4 linked regions of the Arabidopsis thaliana genome follow. The protein of the gene in region 3 interacts with the protein of the main gene of each other region in a pairwise test. Each region holds a gene or a part of one and is shown on either strand. Other genes may lie near its edges. The genes, in order: AAP3, PEX11B, RABA1b and PLC9.

Region 1 (5,276 bases), about 23 Mb from region 3:
TCTTACAAAGATAATAAAAATAATAATGAAGATAACACTTAATAAGGGATCAAGTTGAAGAAAGTGCAGTTGCTATGATGAAAGGCGTTTCTCATTCATTCTTTTAATTCGTTAATCGACATTGAGGATGGCTGTGTGTGTATTGTGTGCGCTTAAATCAAGTGGATGATCTTAACCAAAGAACCATATTCTTTTTCATGATCTCCTAGATCTTTGTTATTACTTTTAATTATCTTTCAATGTAAACATGGAAAAAAAAATAAAAAAACTGGTACATTTTGTATGCATTTTTGCGGTTATAAACTTTGGAATTGTAAAGAATGAACTAGATTTTAACCCGCGGTACACCGCGGAGACAATTTATTTTTTTAAATTAGTATATATAAAATTTTACAAATTATGTCTATCTATAAAATATTTTTATTTTATAGTTTATAATTGTTATTAAGTAACGTCCTTCTAAACCCGTTCCACCAAACTCGTCCTGTAAAAATAAACCGCGGTACCCCGCTAATTTAAATTTATAATTAAAATAAATATTTTACGGGATTGCAATTGTGTTTTAGTTTGTCAAACAAAATTTTGTTTTAAATAGTTGTCGAAATGTAGTTCAAATTTTGGAGACATAAGATTTAGTGAATAGATAAGAAATATATTTAGTTGCGTTTCGCTCATTTTAAGGGATTGCAATTGTCTTTTGGGTTGTCAAACATTTTTTGTTTTAAATAGTTGTCGAAATCTATTTCAAATTTTGGAAAAATCTGCGTGATATATGGGATTGGAATATATTTCGAATGTTTTTTTATTTGTTAATCAATTTATTGCTAAAAAAACAATAATTAAAAGCCAATGGTAGCCATTGTAAATAAATTCCAACTCCAGGATTTATTTCACAAAATGACTGCAACAATGTATATATAGATTCTATTTTTATGAATATAATTCCCTTTATATTTGGAGACTATTTCCTTTGAATGATGACTTGTCTGAATACAAATCTTCTCGTAAGTCCTTAAAGGATATTTGGTTTCCCACGAATCAAGCCAATACAAGTTTGTGTATGTCATTTATGTTTAAATGAGTTTAGTTGGCAAAGTAATCAAAATATTTCATTTCGAGAAGAACATATAGCTTACACGCCTCATAAGTTAGTTACCTACAGAAACTTATATGGTGGGGTGATATACTTTCGGATTCTAGGTAAGATATAGTATATGTGCGTTACTATTGCTCATACTATAAAAATCACCTTTTGGTTTTGAGTTATCATTTTGAAATCTACACATGATTGCGTGTACTCATTATTTAAAGTCGGCATAGATTTCTCCATATATATGTCATGATTCCATGAATGTTCTTTTAACATCTTAATGCGATAACACTTTACATTGAAATATTCAAGAAAAAACCAAGCTGTTTTCTAAATAAATTTAGTTTGTCCACGGTTAATAAAATTTAAAATTAGCGAAATACGTAAATAATCAAATGATATAACCAAAATGCCTATTATTTTTAAAACAACATTTTATTTTCTCTAATCTCATAAAATACTCTAATAAAATCTAGTTGTAAGTGAAAATAACACTAAGCTTCAAACACACACGTACATGAATGTTTGTTTTTTTCTTTCAAAAAAGCTGAACAATGACATTTTAAGTCCAAATGAAAACGATGGTATCATCTTGGACTTCCAATTTTCCATTGCCCATATTTTCTCTTTTCTTTTGTTTTTATCCAATTGGTATCGAATCATTCATATAAAATTATAAATCATGAAGTCAAATTTTTCAATAGTAACACTTGAGTAATAGTGGTCCTACCAACTTTTTACCAAGACAGATATATTTTTTTTAATACACTTTTTACCTTTTACTGTGTTTGCCTCAAATGAGTGTTTTTACCAGTTTCTGTGTATATAAATCTGCACTCCACTCTCAGTTTATCTTCATCCACAAGACAGTTCTTTAACAAAGTCATTAAACATTTCCCTTACCTTCTAAAGATCAACTCTTTCAAACACTTACTCTGCATGTAACTTCATAGATTGAACGAAGAACCAAAAAAACAGAGCAAAACAAACAAAAGATGGTTCAAAACCACCAAACAGTTCTCGCCGTCGATATGCCACAAACCGGCGGCTCCAAGTACTTGGACGACGACGGGAAAAACAAAAGAACTGGTAACAATGTTTCTCTCTTTCTCTTTAATTCATATTGAGACTTGGTTCTCTAATTATTCAAAAAAATATTAATTTGAACTCGAAACCTGCTCTGATTTAGTTATGTTGAAAAAACGAGAAAGTTGAAAGTTTTTAAATTTTGGGTTTTAGGGAGTGTTTGGACGGCGAGTGCACACATAATAACGGCAGTGATAGGTTCGGGAGTTTTGTCACTAGCGTGGGCTACGGCGCAGCTAGGTTGGCTCGCCGGACCGGTGGTGATGTTGCTCTTCTCTGCCGTCACTTATTTCACTTCTTCTCTTCTTGCTGCTTGTTACCGCTCCGGCGACCCTATCTCCGGCAAGAGGAACTACACTTATATGGATGCTGTCCGATCAAATCTCGGTAAATACAAAACTTCAAAGTAGAAATCGGACAATGGAGATCAGATCAGAACAGAGCATTAACATTTTTCATTGTTCTGTATAGGTGGCGTGAAGGTGACGCTATGTGGGATTGTTCAGTATCTTAATATCTTTGGTGTTGCTATTGGCTACACAATTGCTTCAGCTATAAGCATGATGTGAGTGTTCTCACTAATTAACTCTTAAAACTACGAAGTTAGGTAATGGACCAAATAGGTTTTGATGATAATAAAAAATAAACAAAATTTTGTTTTTGAAAAACAGGGCAATAAAGAGATCAAACTGTTTCCACAAGAGTGGAGGGAAAGATCCATGTCACATGAACAGTAATCCTTACATGATAGCTTTTGGATTAGTCCAGATTCTATTCTCTCAGATTCCAGATTTTGATCAACTTTGGTGGCTCTCAATCCTCGCCGCCGTTATGTCCTTCACTTATTCCTCAGCCGGTCTCGCCCTCGGCATAGCCCAAGTTGTCGGTTCGTTTCTTGAACCATAAAGCTTCTAGGGTCTTAAATAAGAACTTTCATAGGTAAAAAACTAATAGGTTTTATGTGTTTTGGTTTCATCAGTTAATGGGAAGGTGAAGGGAAGTCTCACTGGGATTAGCATAGGAGCAGTAACAGAGACACAGAAGATATGGAGGACCTTTCAAGCTCTTGGAGACATTGCTTTTGCTTACTCTTACTCCATTATCCTCATCGAGATTCAGGTACTTATACCTTCTTTACAAGTCTTGATGATCAAAGCCATTAATTACTGGTCCCATCATGAAGCTTTTTTTATTCTGGGATCTGAAACAGGACACAGTGAAGTCACCACCATCAGAAGAGAAGACGATGAAGAAGGCAACACTTGTGAGCGTCAGTGTAACGACTATGTTCTATATGTTGTGTGGATGTATGGGATATGCAGCCTTTGGAGACTTGTCTCCGGGAAATCTCTTAACCGGTTTCGGGTTTTATAATCCTTATTGGCTTCTTGACATTGCAAATGCAGCCATTGTGATTCACCTTATTGGTGCATACCAAGTCTATTGCCAACCTCTGTTTGCTTTCATCGAGAAGCAAGCTTCCATTCAATTCCCTGATAGTGAGTTCATTGCAAAAGATATCAAAATTCCAATTCCTGGTTTCAAGCCTCTCCGCTTGAATGTCTTCAGGTACAAATCTTGCCTTTAAACTAATGGGATCTGAGTTTTAAACATGATGTGTATGTAATAATCAAAGCTTCTGTGTGGCGTGGAATGGCTTACTCAGGTTGATATGGAGGACAGTGTTTGTGATCATAACGACAGTTATCTCAATGCTTCTTCCGTTTTTCAACGACGTTGTGGGTCTGCTCGGGGCACTAGGGTTTTGGCCATTGACGGTGTATTTTCCAGTGGAAATGTACATCGCGCAGAAGAAGATACCTAGATGGAGCACCAGATGGGTTTGCCTTCAAGTCTTCAGCTTAGGGTGTCTAGTAGTTAGCATTGCTGCAGCTGCAGGGTCCATAGCTGGAGTACTTCTTGATCTAAAGTCCTACAAGCCATTTCGAAGCGAATACTGATCAACTTGAATAGTAGCCAATTCAAAGCGATGACTAAGTCAGTTTTAAACACAATGGATTTATCAAGAACAGTCAAGAGAACCAAGAACCATGAATTTGGGAATTTTGATCAGCTTTTTTTTATATAGATAGAAGCAATAATGCTGTTAGTTCTTCTCTATAATCTTCTCTGTACCCTGAAGGCAAGAATTGTAGTCCTAATGAGTAAATCTTCGATTAATGACAGAGTCATGTGCTGCAACAGAATCATGAACTAGCACCATAATAGTATATTACCATTGTGGTAAAATTTCAATAACAAGTTCTTGTACTTGCTCTTCTTTCCATGATCTGATATTTGCCGTATGAACCATTCACTAAGGCACACAAGTATGGATTATTTAAGCGAAACAATCACCAGAGCAGTGCAGTAACAAAAGATCAAGACTTTATCAATGCCATCATAACTTACATAACTGAGTCATACATATCAATTCGCTTATTCAGTCTACAACTAGCAAAGATTTCTAATTCCTGTAAATCACATACTGTAGATTCCACATTCGAGGTCCTCAAATATCAACTTGCAGCAAGAAGCTTTTGCAACTGACCACTCTCCAAAGCAGCTCCAAGATCTGAAGCAACAAGATAAACAGCCAAGGCTTGTGAGTTACAAGGGAAATTTGGACAAAAGAATGAAACTTGGAGGAGATAGTGAGCTCATCATACCATCTGATCCACCAATATGCTTGCCGTTAACAAAAACTTGCGGGACAGTACGACGACCAACGAATTCTAAAAGCTCATACTGGATTTGATCTCCGTCCTCTGCAAAAACAAATCTCTCAGAAGTTTTAAGAAACAGTTCAATTCTCATAAACAGTTGGGTGAGAAAGAAAGTGATACCTCTCTGATCAAGCTCCACAACAAATGGCTCTTCCTTAAGTTGGCTGAATATACGTTTCGACCGCAAACAATACCTAACACATCCAAAACAAAATTCACAACTTTCAACACAAAGTCTTGGAATTTCGAATTCCGCCATCGTGCCAATGAATAAGGAAAGCTAGATATGAACCAAAACTTGGAAAGTTGCCTAAATTGCAAATTTCAAATTAGGAGAAAGAGTGAAATTTAATTACGGGCAGTAGGATTTGGAG
Region 2 (4,161 bases), on a different chromosome or scaffold from region 3:
TACGTGCTGATAAATTCAAACACACTAATCAGAATAACCAAACAAAACGAAGCACACAAAATCAGACAAAAAGTAAATATGTTTGATTACCTGTTCCATGACGGTTACTTTAAGAACAAGGCAAGCCATAACAGAGGCAATCATCTGAGAAGTCCAATAAAACATAGCGGTTGGAACGCTAATCCGACCAGCAACAGCCATCGCAAACGTAACCGCTGGATTCACATGACCACCAGAGACGTTCCAAGAGATGTAAACTGACGATGATAACGCCAACGCATTAGCAATCGCCGGTATTAAAACACCAAACGGACCAGACACATCACCAGCCATCAATTTCCCTGATAAGAAAAAACACAGGTTAACAATTTCTTCTTATTGCAAAAAAGGATCAAACTCATCAAGAAACAGAGTAATTACTTGAAGACATGACAGAACCAACGGCTGCGAGGACGAAGAAGAAGGTTGAGATAAACTCTGATACATAACATCTCAACGCATTCATACTTAGTACTCCTTGAAACTTACTTGAAAACGATGTTGGAATCATTCTTCTCATCAATTTCTTTCGAAAAAATTATCTCTGTTTCTGTTTCTTTAGTGAGTATTGCATCGTTATAAATCTATAAATATTACTGGAAGGTAACGACTTTTGATGCAAATGAATTTAAAAAAAAAAATAACCGTCCCAGTGAAGAGGGTGAGAGAGTGGGAAGTTACTATTTTACAGTTACCAAGTTTTATGAATTTCATAAATGTCCCCCACGTATGTGGATTATACTTTTGTATACCCTTAGTTTTGTTTGATTTCGATTTGACTATAGATAATGTAAAATAGAAATGTTTCATATATTCAAGTGAGTTACATTACACGTTTGATACGTTCATTCAAAACAACAAACATTTGATTTTATTACATCTCACGATGGCCAGTTCCTATACCAACCGGCCCAAGCTGAAACTAAACCGCTTATACCGAGTGTAATGGTGTGGTTACAAAAGGGGTTTGGGTGAATTTCTGCCAATGCTATAAGTAAATCCGCAACGTTGGCTGAAATTCCCATCAACCTCATTACTATATCTCCCCGAATCTCGCTAATTTTGGCGCCGATTTCTTCTTTCGGTTCATCGGTCGAATGCTGGAGCTTTTTTAAGGATTTGAGTCTTTGCTTTATGAAGATGCAATCAATGATGATGAAGAAAGTGTAGCCGAAAGATTCGCCAAAAGCGGATATGAAACTCATTTTCTTGGCGAGCTTGGCGTCTATTGAACCAATTCTTGATAACCAAAGAAAATGATCAAAGAAGAAGTAAACCATTTCCCCTGAATTGGCTAGGACCGCCAAGAAACGGATCATCGGGGTTGCCCCGGGGTTTCGTCTCAGCGCATTGAACCCCGTGAGAGATCTCCCGGTCCTGTTCGCATAATTCGACCATAATCACTATTCAATTATATTTTTCTTGTAATATAAAGTGTATCGTACTAGTCACTATTCAAATATGCTAGATGAGATAAGATATTAATCAAGAAGTGACTAAAACATTTCATTTCATTTCATCTATTAAACTATATTTACGATGATGCCACTTTGTCGATAAAGTGATTAATATTAAAAAGATGTGGGACCTGAAGGCTTTGCGGCTGAGACCGGAGGCGACCTCCCACTTCTTGAACCTATCGGCGGCTTCGGGTCGTGTGGCTTCAACATGCCAGCACGCGAGCTTGGCCACGTATTGGAATGTCTTCACAAGCTTGTCTATTCCGTCTCTCTTGGCCAAGAACACCACCAGTTTGTCCACAGTGTCCAAAGACATCGCTAACGGTGGCAGCGGAAGGAGAGGAGATATGAAGTTATGGAGATGATGAAGACGATGTAAACCACAAGTGACGTTTGTGCTCGAAACAATCGGGTTTTGTCTTTTGTTTGTTTTGGGGTTTGAGTTTTAAGATGATTGCTTTGTGGTGGCTAATACTTGCTCTTGTTGTCTCATGTTTTGATATTCAAGCTTGGGATAAAAAAAGAAATTTAATCTTTTATATGTGTGGAAGAAACTTTCACAAATATTTTATATACATAAAAAGAAATTTGATAAAAAAGAAAAATACATAAAAAGAAAAAAAATGTTTTCAATTATTTAGGTTCGTATATCGAGATTGAAGATAATTCTAATTTTTATAAAATGATTGAGAGCGTTGGAGAAATCCGAGAATTTGTGCACAAATAGATGAGTGAGGTTCTTTGTACAAATGGGTTTGATTTGGGCTGGAGCTTGGGCTTTAGCTCGAAACTGAAAACAAATAGCTATTTCATTGTGTGAATATAAAAGATGTTATGCATTAGAACCGATATATCACCAAATACGATTTGCTTAATTTTATACTGCATAATCCGATCCCTATCTTAAAGGAAAAAAGATTACACGAACCACGTAATTTTGAGGTGTCCCTTTCAGGGGAAATTTGACGTCGGGTGACCTTCAATATATCGGTTTCATGATTGATCTCTAATGTTGTGTGGATACGAATATTTTCAACATGCAAAAACTTTTATACGTGCGTTTTGGACTATCAAGCTATTAATCTGTTTTTACCGGACTGTCAATCCAAAGATTTACGGCGGTGAAAGACGTCACTTCATACGTGTCCTGCGTTCGAACATCCTGGATACCCAAATTTTTGACATTTTTAAACAAACAAAAACGTATAGATAGAGAGGAAAATCAAATTCAATCGATCTTTATAAAACAACAAGAGACTATACATATGGTTCATTGATGTGTCACTTAAAAGGACACATCAAGTTTTTTTTTTAAAGCCTAAAGGACACATCAAGTTAGGCAAAATAATTGAAGATAGCTAGATAAAATAAATATTTCTAATGGTTGTTTCTTTTTCTCATAATCAATTTTGTTCATATGAAACCAAGAAACGTATACAGAAAAAGAAAATACTCCTTATCCTTTGATCTTCAGCTGTCTCTGTATTTGGAAATTGAGAGTTCATATCTTGGCCCATGTAATAAAACAAACAAAACAAAATGCATTTCATGATTTTCTTACAAAAAACTAAAATATCAGCCCTAGAAATGTTTTCATTATAATGGTTAGAAGAATTGTTAAGTAATACTTTTTCATATAATTGGACAATATTTTTTGTCAAATCAAATATCAGCCCTAGAAATATAAAAAATGAGTTCCCCCTAACGACGACTTCTTTTCTTTATACAGTCATTTGTCTTGGTCACAAGCCACGTAGAAGTTAGTGATGTACATCGATTATTCAATTTTGTTTGTTACGAAAAATCTCAAAACCGGAAGAAATATTTTCTTGTGGTCATGAAAATTTCAAAAGACTAACGTAATGACTAATGAAGCAGCCACAGCCATACGTAAATAACTTGTTATTAATTTTTCAAGATTCTAAAAATATTATCATAATTTTCTTTGACACTAAACTCATATATTACATATAATCAGTTGTTATAAAAAATCTGTAAGAGATTATCAAGAATATATAAAATCTGATTATGTAGTACATACATTCTGCTAGTCGCATTGTTATATTAGCTAGACAATATGACCTAACAAAGATTTGTTATTAAATTTGAAATGGAGGCTCGTGTAGAGTGTATGACACTGAAACCAAATATAATAATCAAATAACACCACGTCGGTTCGAACCCAAGGCTAGAATCAATTCAAGACAATTGGTCGCCTCGTCATCAAAGGATCGATCCTGTTAAAGAACAACATCCACAATTATTACCACGTCGGGCGGTTCCGTACAAAAAACGTGGCACCAAATGGGCCCCAATATGGGCCCGGACAAGTTGATAGAATATCCACTGCACGTTAAGTATAATCCTTCGGTATATGCGAATATGCCATTTCCCTCCATAATGACCTCTAAACTTACGTAACTACCCTTCTTATGTTTTCCAAAACTTCTGAGGTAATGTGTGTGGGCCAAGATGAGAACTCGTTGTGTTGACTAAAATGCCCTTATCACACCAACTTTGTGTAGTTCCATGATTTTGAGAAGTTTCAGAGTCGTCAGAGTTGAAGAACGGCGTGGCACGTGGGCGGCCATGCCCATGAGTGCTGGTTTGGATGGCGTTTTGCAGCTCCCAGTACATCATGCGATGATCACATCCTACCATA
Region 3 (5,079 bases):
ACTAAAATTGCAATCAAATTAGGCATTTCCCCCATTAGAGGGTTAATGGGCCCTATGGAATTGGGTTCATTGGGCTGTTTGAAAAGACGAAGAAGACGAGCAGATCTCACGACCGGTGCCTGAACGATTTCTCCAGATAATTGGTAATCGATCAACCGGAACTCACTCACTTGGATTTGGTAATGGTGATTGTTGTTGATTACATCCACGGTCGGGAATTGCATTAAAATGCTCGAAAATGCTAAACCCGTAAGAGATTTTAAGCAGTGACTTATTGAAACCCTTTGATCAAATTGAGTTCAGAAAGCAGCAATCTTTAAATTAAGCACAAAGCCAGAAACCAATGAGTACGAGTATCAGATTTCTAGGGTTCATTAAAAAAAGATGCAAACTTTAGGTCAACGATACTAAAATCACAAGATCAAAACAAAATTACAAGAAAAGATGAAGAAGAGAGTGATCATCATTTCATAGCTTTCTGAACCGAATCTCTAGGCAATAAACCAACATCTCCTTGTTGATTCTTCTCCTGCTCCTGTTTCAGAAGCGAGTTTCTCTCCATCTCACGCCACTTATTGATCGCGAATGTACATAGAACTGCGAAATATTTTATATTTTATTGGAATGTTGGATTCAATCGAGATCAAAATAGAAAAAAATATGAAGCAGCATAAAGCGAACTTACATCCGGCGCCGACGAAGTAGACCATTCGAAGCATCTTTGGAGCTGGTGGTCCTTCCTCCATCATTTCTTCTTCTAATCGCTCGCTCGCTCGCTCGCTCCTATCTTCTTCTTCTTCTCTAAAGGAACGGCGTCGTTTGCAGTTTAGTGACAAAATGAGACCTAAACCCGACAACATAACGCAACCCGACCCGGTTCTGAAGTTGTGGTTTTGGATTTTGAAGATTACAAAGACAGAGGAAATTAGAATCAAAACTGGAGGACAAGGAGAGCGACGATCCAACTATCGAAGATGAACGTCGGCATTTTAGATCCAGATTCCTCTGCTTAACTGATGCATATTGAGCCTGGTTCACCAACAATTCTTGAAATAAAGTTAAATAAACATTATGTAGTGTATGGTCTAAAACTCATACAAATGTCGATAGTGTTACAAAACAAGGACATAATCAAACAATGGACCATGGGGGTTATAATTCTCTCTCAACAGTGAAAACAAAAAAAGGCTTCAATTTGAGCAGCACCCGAGTTTCTTCAGCGCAGAGACATCGTTTTTAACTTCGATTTTCTCACCTTTCGGGACAGAGGCGTTCCCATCTTCACCAGCTTCCACTTGCTTCTTGCTTGTGATGCGATAAATTTGTGTCAACACCTCTGCAAATGCGTCCTCCACATTGGTAGCTTCAAGGGCAGATGTTTCCATGAAGCAGAGCGATTCTTGTTCCGCATAGGACTTCCCGTCTTCTGTAGGAACAGCTAGCAAGTGGCGGAGATCAGATTTGTTACCAACCAGCATCACTACAATGTTTGGATCTGTGTGGTTCTTGAGCTCCTTTAACCACCGATCTACGTTCTCAAATGTTGCACGGCGAGTTACATCATATACTAGGAGTGCACCCACGGCTCCACGGTAATATGCACTAGTGATGGCACGGTACCTGAGACGAGAAGCAAAAGTGAGTCTTCAAATTGTGGCGAGAATCAGTGGTTGACAGAACAAAAGGTGTCAGAGAAGAAAATTCTTATAAGCTTTTTATGTTTTGCCAAAAGTGATAATTAAATTGGTAGGTCAAAGAAGGAAGTAAAACAATCGTCTCAATGGAGGCAACTCAACTAGCAAACAGAGCAAGTCCTTTGTAGCATTCTAACAATAGTCTATGCAAGTGTTCGTGATTCTAGTGATCATTAACCAGAAAAAATCGCATGCTCTTGTTCATCCATCCAATTCAGATTCCATCAAAGCAATCATGGTCATATTGAGTCAAAACCCAAAGACTTATTTCAGAAGAAGGGCACTTTTTTTAATCTACATTATTAGCTACCTCAAGATTCCATCCGTCAATGGTGGTCAAATGCAGTCAACTTCAGACAAACGAGCAATATTTGAGTACAAAAGTCAACGGAGAGACTCTCTAGTAAAAGGCTGCTGAACACAGAACACATTCACAACCAAAAAACTAAAAACAAGCACATAAGCCAGTGAATGAATCACACATTGAATAGTCACCACTCACCAACCTAGACCTAGAGAAGATAAGATCAGCTTCATGTTAAGCTCCCATTCACTCCAAAACTGTTTGATAGAACATATAGATTGGGCTAAAGAGCTCAATTCCAACACAGTAACATAAATTCAAATTAAGTCAAACAAACGAATCAAAAAGCTAGTGTCCGCTATCAAAGTCACCAAAACGATAGATCTATGGAAACTCGTTTAAAGCCACTGCTAGATCGAGAACCTAAGTATGGAAGCAAAGGAGCTTAGAGTGATCTCCGGGACAGTGGCTTCTATTTGCAATGTACTCGAGACCAATTGACCCAGGAATAAATCGAAAATACGCCACGAAACTCAATGTGAAATACCAAGATCTAGCATGAAGGCCGATTTTACATACAAATAAGAGACGAAGAACGAAATGAAGAGACGAGGAAGACGAAAAACGAACCTCTCCTGACCAGCAGTGTCCCAAATCTGAGCTTTAACGACTTTGCCATCGACTTTTAAGGTACGAGTGGCGAATTCGACGCCAATGGTGGATTTAGACTCTAGATTGAACTCGTTTTTAGTGAATCTGGAAAGGAGATTGGATTTGCCAACTCCAGAATCGCCTATAAGAACAACTTTGAAGAGGTAATCGTAGTCATCTTCCACTCTGTACCCTGCCATCTCCGCCGTCTCCAGGTGGTTGCTTCTTCTCAGCGATTAATCTGAGAAAGAAAGAGAGAGAGAGAGAGAGACGCAGCAGTGTGAAGGTGTAAACTGAGATTTGAAATAACGCTGAGAAGAAATTGGTGTATGTGTTAAAGTGACGGCTTGTGACAAGACAGTCTGTAACTGTAATCGAGATCTGGTCCGTTGATCTATTGGGCGCGTGTGTGACTGTTGTTATATCAAAAGGTTTTTACTTTTTACAGGTTTTCGCTGTATTAGCAGGGTGAAGACTAAAAATTTGATCATTAAATCACCATAAGATCACTAGATTAGTTAGCTCTAATAAAGTGGGAAGTACAACAATATAAACACAAACTTTTTCTTGAAATAGGACGTTTTAACTTTTAGTAATAATGTAATTTCATATCTCAAAAACTTAACTTCTCTTTGGTTATATTATTAATTGACTCACGCCATGACATACATTATTTTTCTAGCTAAAATTTGTAATCAATGTAAATATTAAAGATAGTAAAAAAAAACTACGTGATTAATGTCCTGAGTTGACTATTATTGTCTGCATCTTAGAGATGTCAAAGATGTCAACAAGCAAGCGAGACGATCTATGTTCCCTTTTCCCGGAAAATTGACGGTGCTTTCGTCTTATTCTTCCTCTCTCGCCGTTATCTCTTTGGGAATAAATAATACTTAAGTACTACAGGTAATTTCAGTATCGTTTGATTCTTTCTGGAGTTTATGAGTTGACTTTTTTAGCTAACAGATTCGTGATTCTTCAGTTTGTTATTTACATGATTCAGTCTCAAACTATATAGTTCAGAGTTTAAGGAAACGACATGGATGATGAAACCTCTGTTAAAGAGAAGCAAAGGAACTCCGATAGGATAAGCAATTTACCTGATTCCTTGTTATGTCAGATTCTCTCAGATCTCTCCACAAAAGAATCGGTTTGCACAAGCGTTTTATCAAAACGATGGAGAAATCTCTGGTTACATGTTCCTGTATTGGATTTGGATTCCAATAACTTCCCAGATGATGATGTTTTTGTGAGTTTCGTAAATAGGTTTCTGGGTTCTGAAAATGAGCAACACTTGGAGAGATTCAAGTTGATCTATGAGGTTAATGAGCACGATGCTTCTCGTTTCAAGTCTTGGATCAATGCTGTGATTAAGCGTAGAGTTTGTCATTTTAATGTTCATAATGAGGTGGATGATGATGACGAGTTAGTTAAGATGCCTTTATCTCTCTATTCATGTGAAAGATTGGTGAACTTACAGCTCTACCGCGTAGCCTTGGATCATCCGGAATCTGTTTCGCTGCCTTGTGTCAAGATTATGCATCTTGATATGGTCAAGTACGATGCTGATTCGACTCTGGAGATTCTAATATCAGGTTGTCCAGTTTTGGAAGAGTTAACCATAGTTCGTGATCCCAATGATTCTCTTGAAGTTGTGTGTGTGCGTTCCCAGTCTTTAAAAAGCTTCAAGATAGATTCTGAGCGCTACGAAAGTCAAAATCATGTTGTTACAATCGATGCTCCAAGACTTGAGTATATGAATCTTTGTGATCATCGATCTGACAGCTTCATAATACACAACATTGGCCCCTTTGCAAAGGTAGATATCGATGTTATCTTTAATGTCGAATATAATGATCCATTGGAACCAGATGATTCTTCCAAGATAGCTATGCTAGGTAAATTCCTCACTGGGTTATCTACGGTCAGCGAAATGGTCATATCTTCTGATACTCTACAGGTATATATATGCTCGATTCAATAACATTAAGCTTATACACTTCCTTTATGGCTTTATCACATTTTCTCAGTGAACCCATGTTTGTTTGTTTTTTTGGCTGCATAGGTTATTCATGATTACTGCAAAATGGAACAACTACCTCAATTCTCTAACTTGTCTCGCTTGCATGCTTACTTCGAAGATACTTGGTGGGAAATGTTGCCAACCTTCCTTGAGAGCTTCCCAAATCTACACTCACTCGTCATGGTGAGTTTTCATTTGCTTCTTCTACCCTCATGTAAATCACATTAAGATTTTTGATAACAAAAACTCAAACTTCCCTCGGTTATATATTATCAGGAATTTGATTGCTTTCCAGACACAGAGCAGATTGATCTTTCATATGTGCCACAATGTTTCCTATCATCTCTTGAGTTTGTTCATTTGAAGACTCCATACGTTGTTAACATGCAAAAGGAAGGGAGACCGCT
Region 4 (5,685 bases), on a different chromosome or scaffold from region 3:
TAGAGAACGTTGCTTTGTACGCATTATTTTTTACCTTTCCACATGGCTATGTCATCAGCCTCCTTTTGGTTCTCCTTTTCAATTTCATTGAAATGAGCTAGACGATGTCTTCTTAGTCGTCTTCCTGTCTAAGCCTTTTCCAACGTTGACTCTTTACTTATCCTCTTGCTTCTCTCTCTCATCTTCTTGCACTTTCTTGTTCTTATCCCAAGCTTTGAGTCTTTCAGGTACGACATCATTTTATTGGATCATTACTCTTACTTCATTGGTGGTTTTTGTTGGTCTAAAGAATTTAATTATATCAATATTCTAGTTTGCATTGACAATGCAAAATCTTATAGCTTAAAGTTTATTTAATCTACATTTCTCCGATTAAAGATCGCCGGTGACTATTTTTAAACTCTGATGAATGATAAGACCGAGGTAAAGTCACGAGTTTTACGTATAATCTAGGAAAATGGAAAACAATGTGACATAAAACGAGAAAGTCACTAGATGATGAAAACTTAACGGTCAGAAGATGACCAAGCAAATAGTGACATGTGGCCTAGCATTGTCACCACATTTGTCAATGTTGGAACTAGATCCACTATGAAAAAAATCCAAAACCAATAGACCAAATAAGATCTGCTATGAAAAATAGGATACCTGGAGGCTGGAGTACTCGGAACTAGATCCGCTTTTATTTTTACTTTTACAAATATATTTTTAACATGACCACAAAATGAAGAATGACTAATTTACTTCATCACTAAGTTTCAGTTCCATCAAAAGTTGTTACCCTGAACGGCTGAACCTAAGAAAGTATGCCCCCCAAAAAAATGTATATGTTTTGAACCAAGCTCGAGAAGAACTTGCAGAAGAATGAAAAATAGTTTTTGAAATAAAAAGACAGTAATTCAGTAAAAGAAATTCAAAAATAAAAGTGAAAGAAACTTGAAGTGACAACAAATAACAGGAAAAAGAGAAAACTTTATTTTCGTCTCCAAAGTAAAATGCCAATGCCAAGTTTTTCTGGACCAAATACCTTATTTCCGTATCACAATCTAAGCTTGCCTAAACCCTTTCCCCCTTCCAGGTGGAACTTGAACTAGGGGTCCTAGAAAGCGTAACTTTGAAAGGTTTTAAGAAACACCACTAGATCAAGAGCCGCCACTTGGTAATGAGAAAGAAACTTGTACGCTAAGACCACTTAAAACGTGTGAGCAGCATTGTCGAGCTGCATGCCTTACCTCGCTCATCATAGAGCGGAACAGCACGAATTCCTTCTATTAGTTCAGAAACCGGTAGACAAGTCTGACCACAAAAATAATCTGGAGTTGATACTTCGTAGTCATAAACTTCAAAACTAATCAAAGCAAGGTCAGGATAGGTCAAGGGAAATGTGAATTCTTCTCCCCAAGTAGGTTTCCATTCGTTGTTTTTCACTGTCGTGTTCATAATCTTCTCATCATGGGGTACACCGGCAATACTGATCTGTGCATTTGCGATTAAAGAACCAAAATCAAACTCATTTCCATACCCAAGAAATTAAAGTATCATCTCCTGATTTAGATTTTTGTACCCTAACGTATAAGTCCGGCTTAGACAGTCGACCTATCCGCTTCTTGAAGTCCACAATCCATCCATCTCCCATGTAGATTTTGACCTGCAAGATATAATGTCATCACCCATCCTAAGTGAGAAATAGAACCATAGTATAATTGTTGTAGGATGACAAACAAACCTTTAATGTCTTCACCACCACTGGATTCTCTGTTGGATAGAAAACTCCACTAGAACCTGCATTCAAAAGGAAATTCGGCTTCTTGACGTAACCGCACCCTCCATTTGCTCTAAACATCCCTTGCATCAACCAAAGTTTTTCTTTGTCGTCCTGTAGTACAACATAATGTATTCATGAAACTGATTCCAATAGGTAAGCTCTCCACACAATGCGTACATGCTTGTGCAACCAGTACTGGTTATGAGCAAGAGAAACCAGATAAAGAGAGAGAGAGAGAGAGAGAGAGAAAGAAACGTTTAGAGTCACACCTGCCTGCTTAGTGCAATCATTTGTGCACCGTGCATCCAAGCTCTCTGAGGTTTATAAGGGGGGTTGCTCAACAAGTTGCGTTTTTTTGGACGTGTCCGCAAGAATTTATTTTGGGTGAAGCTGTTTATTGTCAAGAATTTCCTAATCAGTTATATTTTAGTATTTGAGAGGCAACTACTCTCAACATGTTGAGTAAGGGTTTTGGTATGTAGTATAAACTTATTTAACTCAACAATACCTTATAACATCTCTTTCGTACCATCCTGGTTGTTGGACGTCGTCTGTTAATGCTTTTTGTAGCATGCCTCTTGGTTCCACTGCATGAAAGCCAACAACACTCTGGTAATTCTTATCTGTTGACCCCTCTTGTATCTCAAGCTCAACCCCATTCTCAACGGCTTTAGCATATAACAATTTTGTTGGTGGTCTTCGTGATATTAATATCTTATTTTGTAGTTCTGCTGGTGAAGGAAATTCCTCCAAGCTTTGTTGGGGGTCTTCGTGGTATACCATATCACCAAATGTCTGATCTATCATCTACATATGCAACAATATATCATACCAAAAGAATTAGAATACGTAATAATATGAGAAAAACGAGGAGAAAAAGAACATTATAAACCTGAGTAACTTTGGATTGAAGATCCGGTTTCAAGCTGTCCTTGATCGTAATTATCACGGGATAACTCCTCGTGGGGGTAAAGGCATGCTGTTTGATAGCATCCAAACACTCTTGCAATTCTAGAGGCTTTTCAAAGTTCCTATCAAGTTCATAATTAAACCAGAAGCTCAAAGCAAGCTGTATAAGTTTTCATGAAGTAAAGAGGCAGAACAGAATATACCATTTTGGCCTAACGCATATGCCGTCTTTACCAAAAGGCAAAAGATCTAGTTCAACCACTCTCACACCTTGTTTAAGTGCATCAATGATGGGCTCAATGCTGTATAATCTCCCAAAGACATTATTTCCCGTAAAGTAGGATTTGAGGCTAGTGTGAATGAAGTAATGCGATAGTGGAGCATTCATGTCACGATGACGAACCTGAAGAACAGAAACCTAACTCTTACAAAATGTGTTCTTATTTCCAAAAACAAACCAGAAGTAACGACCAACCTATTTCTTTGGTTAATTTTGGAACAGAAAAAAAAGAAAGAAATATCACCTGGTCACTGATCGGGGGATTGAGCTCCGTAGAAAACAGAAACTCGTTCAAGTGAGGAAGCTCGAGAATCGTCAAGTTGCGGAACTTAAGAATATCACATTTTCGGCTTTTTAACTCCCTATCGATTTGCTCTGCAGCGTTCAAGCCGGCACCGTCTTCGTCCTTCTCAGTATCCAACAATTTGATGAACGTAGGTAGCAAATTCGGCATATCGTCATCATATCCATGATATTTATTCCTGAAATAATTTGGGACGCGACCCGGCTGATTCGCCTGTTTCATCTCAAACTTCTTTCTTAAATTCACCATATTGTGAAAAATGGACGAAACCAAAGTATCCCTCGCTTTTTTTAGTTGGTCAACCTAAGACGACTTCAAGAAAGATTTTGCGGTTTGTGAGGTACAAGCAAGCATAGATCCAATGGATAATTGCTAACCCATTTTCTCCTTACATCATTGACCCTCAAGTGTTTTTTCTTTTCTTTTTGAAATTTAAATAGTTAAAATTGGTTTCATTGGTTTGTCTTTTTTTTTGTTTTGTTTATGCGTTGGGCTCATGTGTTTCTGTTGGAACGTCACCGTGGGAACATGATGTGTATTATTAACTTTTTGTTTTGATTGGTTTGTACGTAGTTTTTTTAATAATGTGCCAGTTGTTTTAGACTATGTACTATGATTTTATTTTTTTAACACTTCACCTAATCTTTTCTTTTATCTATCTATTAATTCAATATGTAATCAATAATTTTGTTTAGTAAATATCAACATGTATCATACTTTACCATTTTATTACATAGTAATCATCAACATCCTAGTTGGCTTGTTTACCACTTTTACTTTTATTTTCTTTTGTGTATATGTTTTATGATTATATATTAATAATAATTATCGATTAAAATTAAGTTAAATTAAAAAGGTTATCGTTCAAATCCATTTCACTAAAAAAATGAGTTTTTTTGTCCTATATTCAAATCAAATGCAACAACTCTCTCTTTATAAAATGAAAATGATGAATTTTGATATAAGAAAAATAGAGACTCGACTTCGATAAAGTTTTGGACTTCACTGAAAATTAGCATGAAGTTATATCCCGTTCACCCTAAGTCAGGGCAGCTGCATGACAAGTTCAAGACTTCTCATAGCGCAAGATAATCGAGAAGACAAAGCAAAGTCAAATTTATTTCATCAAAGGAAAGTAGAAAAGCTTTATTTCATGCAAATTAACAAGAGTAACAAAATACTTAAATACATATATAGGATAACATCATAAAACGAAAAAGATAGCAATAACACAAGTTACACAACTGATAAAAAACAGGGAACAATGATGTTTCTGTAGAAGATAAAAACGACTTTAATTCCATTGTTTCTACATAAGCTCGAGCATGTTTGCTTTGCCTGGAGGACGTTCCATCATGCGGTTTTGCTGTTGCTGTTGCTAAGGTAGAAGAATGGTATTTAGAATCGATAAATTGGACGAAAGCGCAATGCCACAAAATTTCTTGGTGACAGTAAAAAACTTCGACATATTGAGTACCATTTTGAGGTGTTCTCGTTAATTTCCACAAACACATTCCGTAAATAACTTGCATGTATGTCAAACACTACATCTTTACATATAGTTTTGAAGAACTTTGATACCTCCTTCTCGCTGCCAAAGTAGTTCTCTATGATCCGGCGACGACTTAAGAATGTGGCATCTTCCTTGCCGTTTAGAAGGCATCCCATGAAAACCACATAGCTTGTTATGTGGTTGGTACTCTTTGCGTAAAATTGTTCAAAGGCGACGCAATTGAGCAAGATTGAGATAATGAACCCATCCAATCTTAACACTGGTATTTGAAGCCTGTTCTTCTTTAACCTTATATCTAACATCGAATCTGCACCACTCCTTAAACTGAAATCTATTCCTTGGAGAGAAAGTCTTGTAGCCGACAATAGCAATGTAAGACCGGAGGATGATTTCTTTCTAGATTTACCCTTAGTGAGTTGGAAATCTTCGTATCCATCCATAGGTAAGAAGCTCATACGAATGAGGTCAAGAAGATGTTTTGCGTTGAAGTTTCTGTGTTTGACCCAATATCTTTCTGGTTTATCCATTGAGAGGTTGAAGAAGCTAAAAGCCATCCTGTTTAGATCACCAGGTACACCTATCTCTGATTTGTCAAATAAAGTTTGAAGAACAAAGAAAGGGACCTGGTTTTCCAAGAGGAGGAGATCACTCTGAATAGACGGAAGAATCCATGGGATGGTGAGAATTGGATCCTCACTCTCATACAATTCTATCTTTCTTGACACGATAAGTAACAACATGAGAATGAAGCACCCATCAAGAATCATCATATACACTAGTTCATGTGGACTTCCCTCAAGACCCTCAGAATAAGATTTCCTTATCTCATCTTCCCAATCCACTACAGCGTTAAACAAGACATCTCTATCCACGCTTGCCGTGCGTAAGAAAAGGTGTAGAAACCGAAGCTTGTG

The links.
Region 1: the proteins of RABA1b (region 3) and AAP3 interact in a protein complementation assay, tested with the Arabidopsis thaliana proteins (one large-scale study listed by BioGRID).
Region 2: the proteins of RABA1b (region 3) and PEX11B interact in a protein complementation assay, tested with the Arabidopsis thaliana proteins (one large-scale study listed by BioGRID).
Region 4: the proteins of RABA1b (region 3) and PLC9 interact in a protein complementation assay, tested with the Arabidopsis thaliana proteins (one large-scale study listed by BioGRID).

What each region holds. Positions count from the first base shown.
Region 1 is NC_003070.9:29,074,062-29,079,337, reverse strand, and holds AAP3 (amino acid permease 3), read left to right. Parts: upstream 1-1,947; 5' UTR 1,948-2,085; coding exon 2,086-2,179; intron 2,180-2,329; coding exon 2,330-2,563; intron 2,564-2,647; coding exon 2,648-2,741; intron 2,742-2,847; coding exon 2,848-3,062; intron 3,063-3,155; coding exon 3,156-3,295; intron 3,296-3,386; coding exon 3,387-3,745; intron 3,746-3,842; coding exon 3,843-4,137; 3' UTR 4,138-4,459; downstream 4,460-5,276. Other genes in the region: AT1G77370 (Glutaredoxin family protein), read right to left, coding at 4,696-4,751, 4,846-5,096, 5,259-5,276. UniProt on the Arabidopsis thaliana protein: Amino acid-proton symporter. Stereospecific transporter with a broad specificity for GABA, tryptophan and both neutral and basic amino acids. High affinity transport of cationic amino acids.
Region 2 is NC_003074.8:17,478,452-17,482,612, reverse strand, and holds PEX11B (peroxin 11B), read right to left. Parts: upstream 2,093-4,161; 5' UTR 1,816-2,092; coding exon 1,628-1,815; intron 1,417-1,627; coding exon 921-1,416; 3' UTR 813-920; downstream 1-812. Other genes in the region: TIP5;1 (tonoplast intrinsic protein 5;1), read right to left, coding at 1-6, 91-341, 421-559. UniProt on the Arabidopsis thaliana protein: Involved in peroxisomal proliferation. Promotes peroxisomal duplication, aggregation or elongation without fission.
Region 3 is NC_003070.9:5,786,299-5,791,377, forward strand, and holds RABA1b (RAB GTPase homolog A1B), read right to left. Parts: upstream 3,015-5,079; 5' UTR 2,850-3,014; coding exon 2,629-2,849; intron 1,621-2,628; coding exon 1,191-1,620; 3' UTR 861-1,190; downstream 1-860. Other genes in the region: AT1G16916 (uncharacterized protein), read right to left, coding at 464-597, 686-860; AT1G16930 (F-box/RNI-like/FBD-like domains-containing protein), read left to right, coding at 3,689-4,609, 4,715-4,855, 4,949-5,079. UniProt on the Arabidopsis thaliana protein: Intracellular vesicle trafficking and protein transport.
Region 4 is NC_003074.8:17,385,941-17,391,625, reverse strand, and holds PLC9 (phosphatidylinositol-speciwc phospholipase C9), read right to left. Parts: upstream 3,744-5,685; 5' UTR 3,508-3,743; coding exon 3,199-3,507; intron 3,078-3,198; coding exon 2,878-3,077; intron 2,797-2,877; coding exon 2,658-2,796; intron 2,573-2,657; coding exon 2,274-2,572; intron 2,156-2,273; coding exon 2,035-2,155; intron 1,877-2,034; coding exon 1,727-1,876; intron 1,649-1,726; coding exon 1,565-1,648; intron 1,477-1,564; coding exon 1,183-1,476; 3' UTR 666-1,182; downstream 1-665. Other genes in the region: AT3G47210 (hypothetical protein (DUF247)), read right to left, coding at 4,657-5,685. UniProt on the Arabidopsis thaliana protein: The production of the second messenger molecules diacylglycerol (DAG) and inositol 1,4,5-trisphosphate (IP3) is mediated by activated phosphatidylinositol-specific phospholipase C enzymes.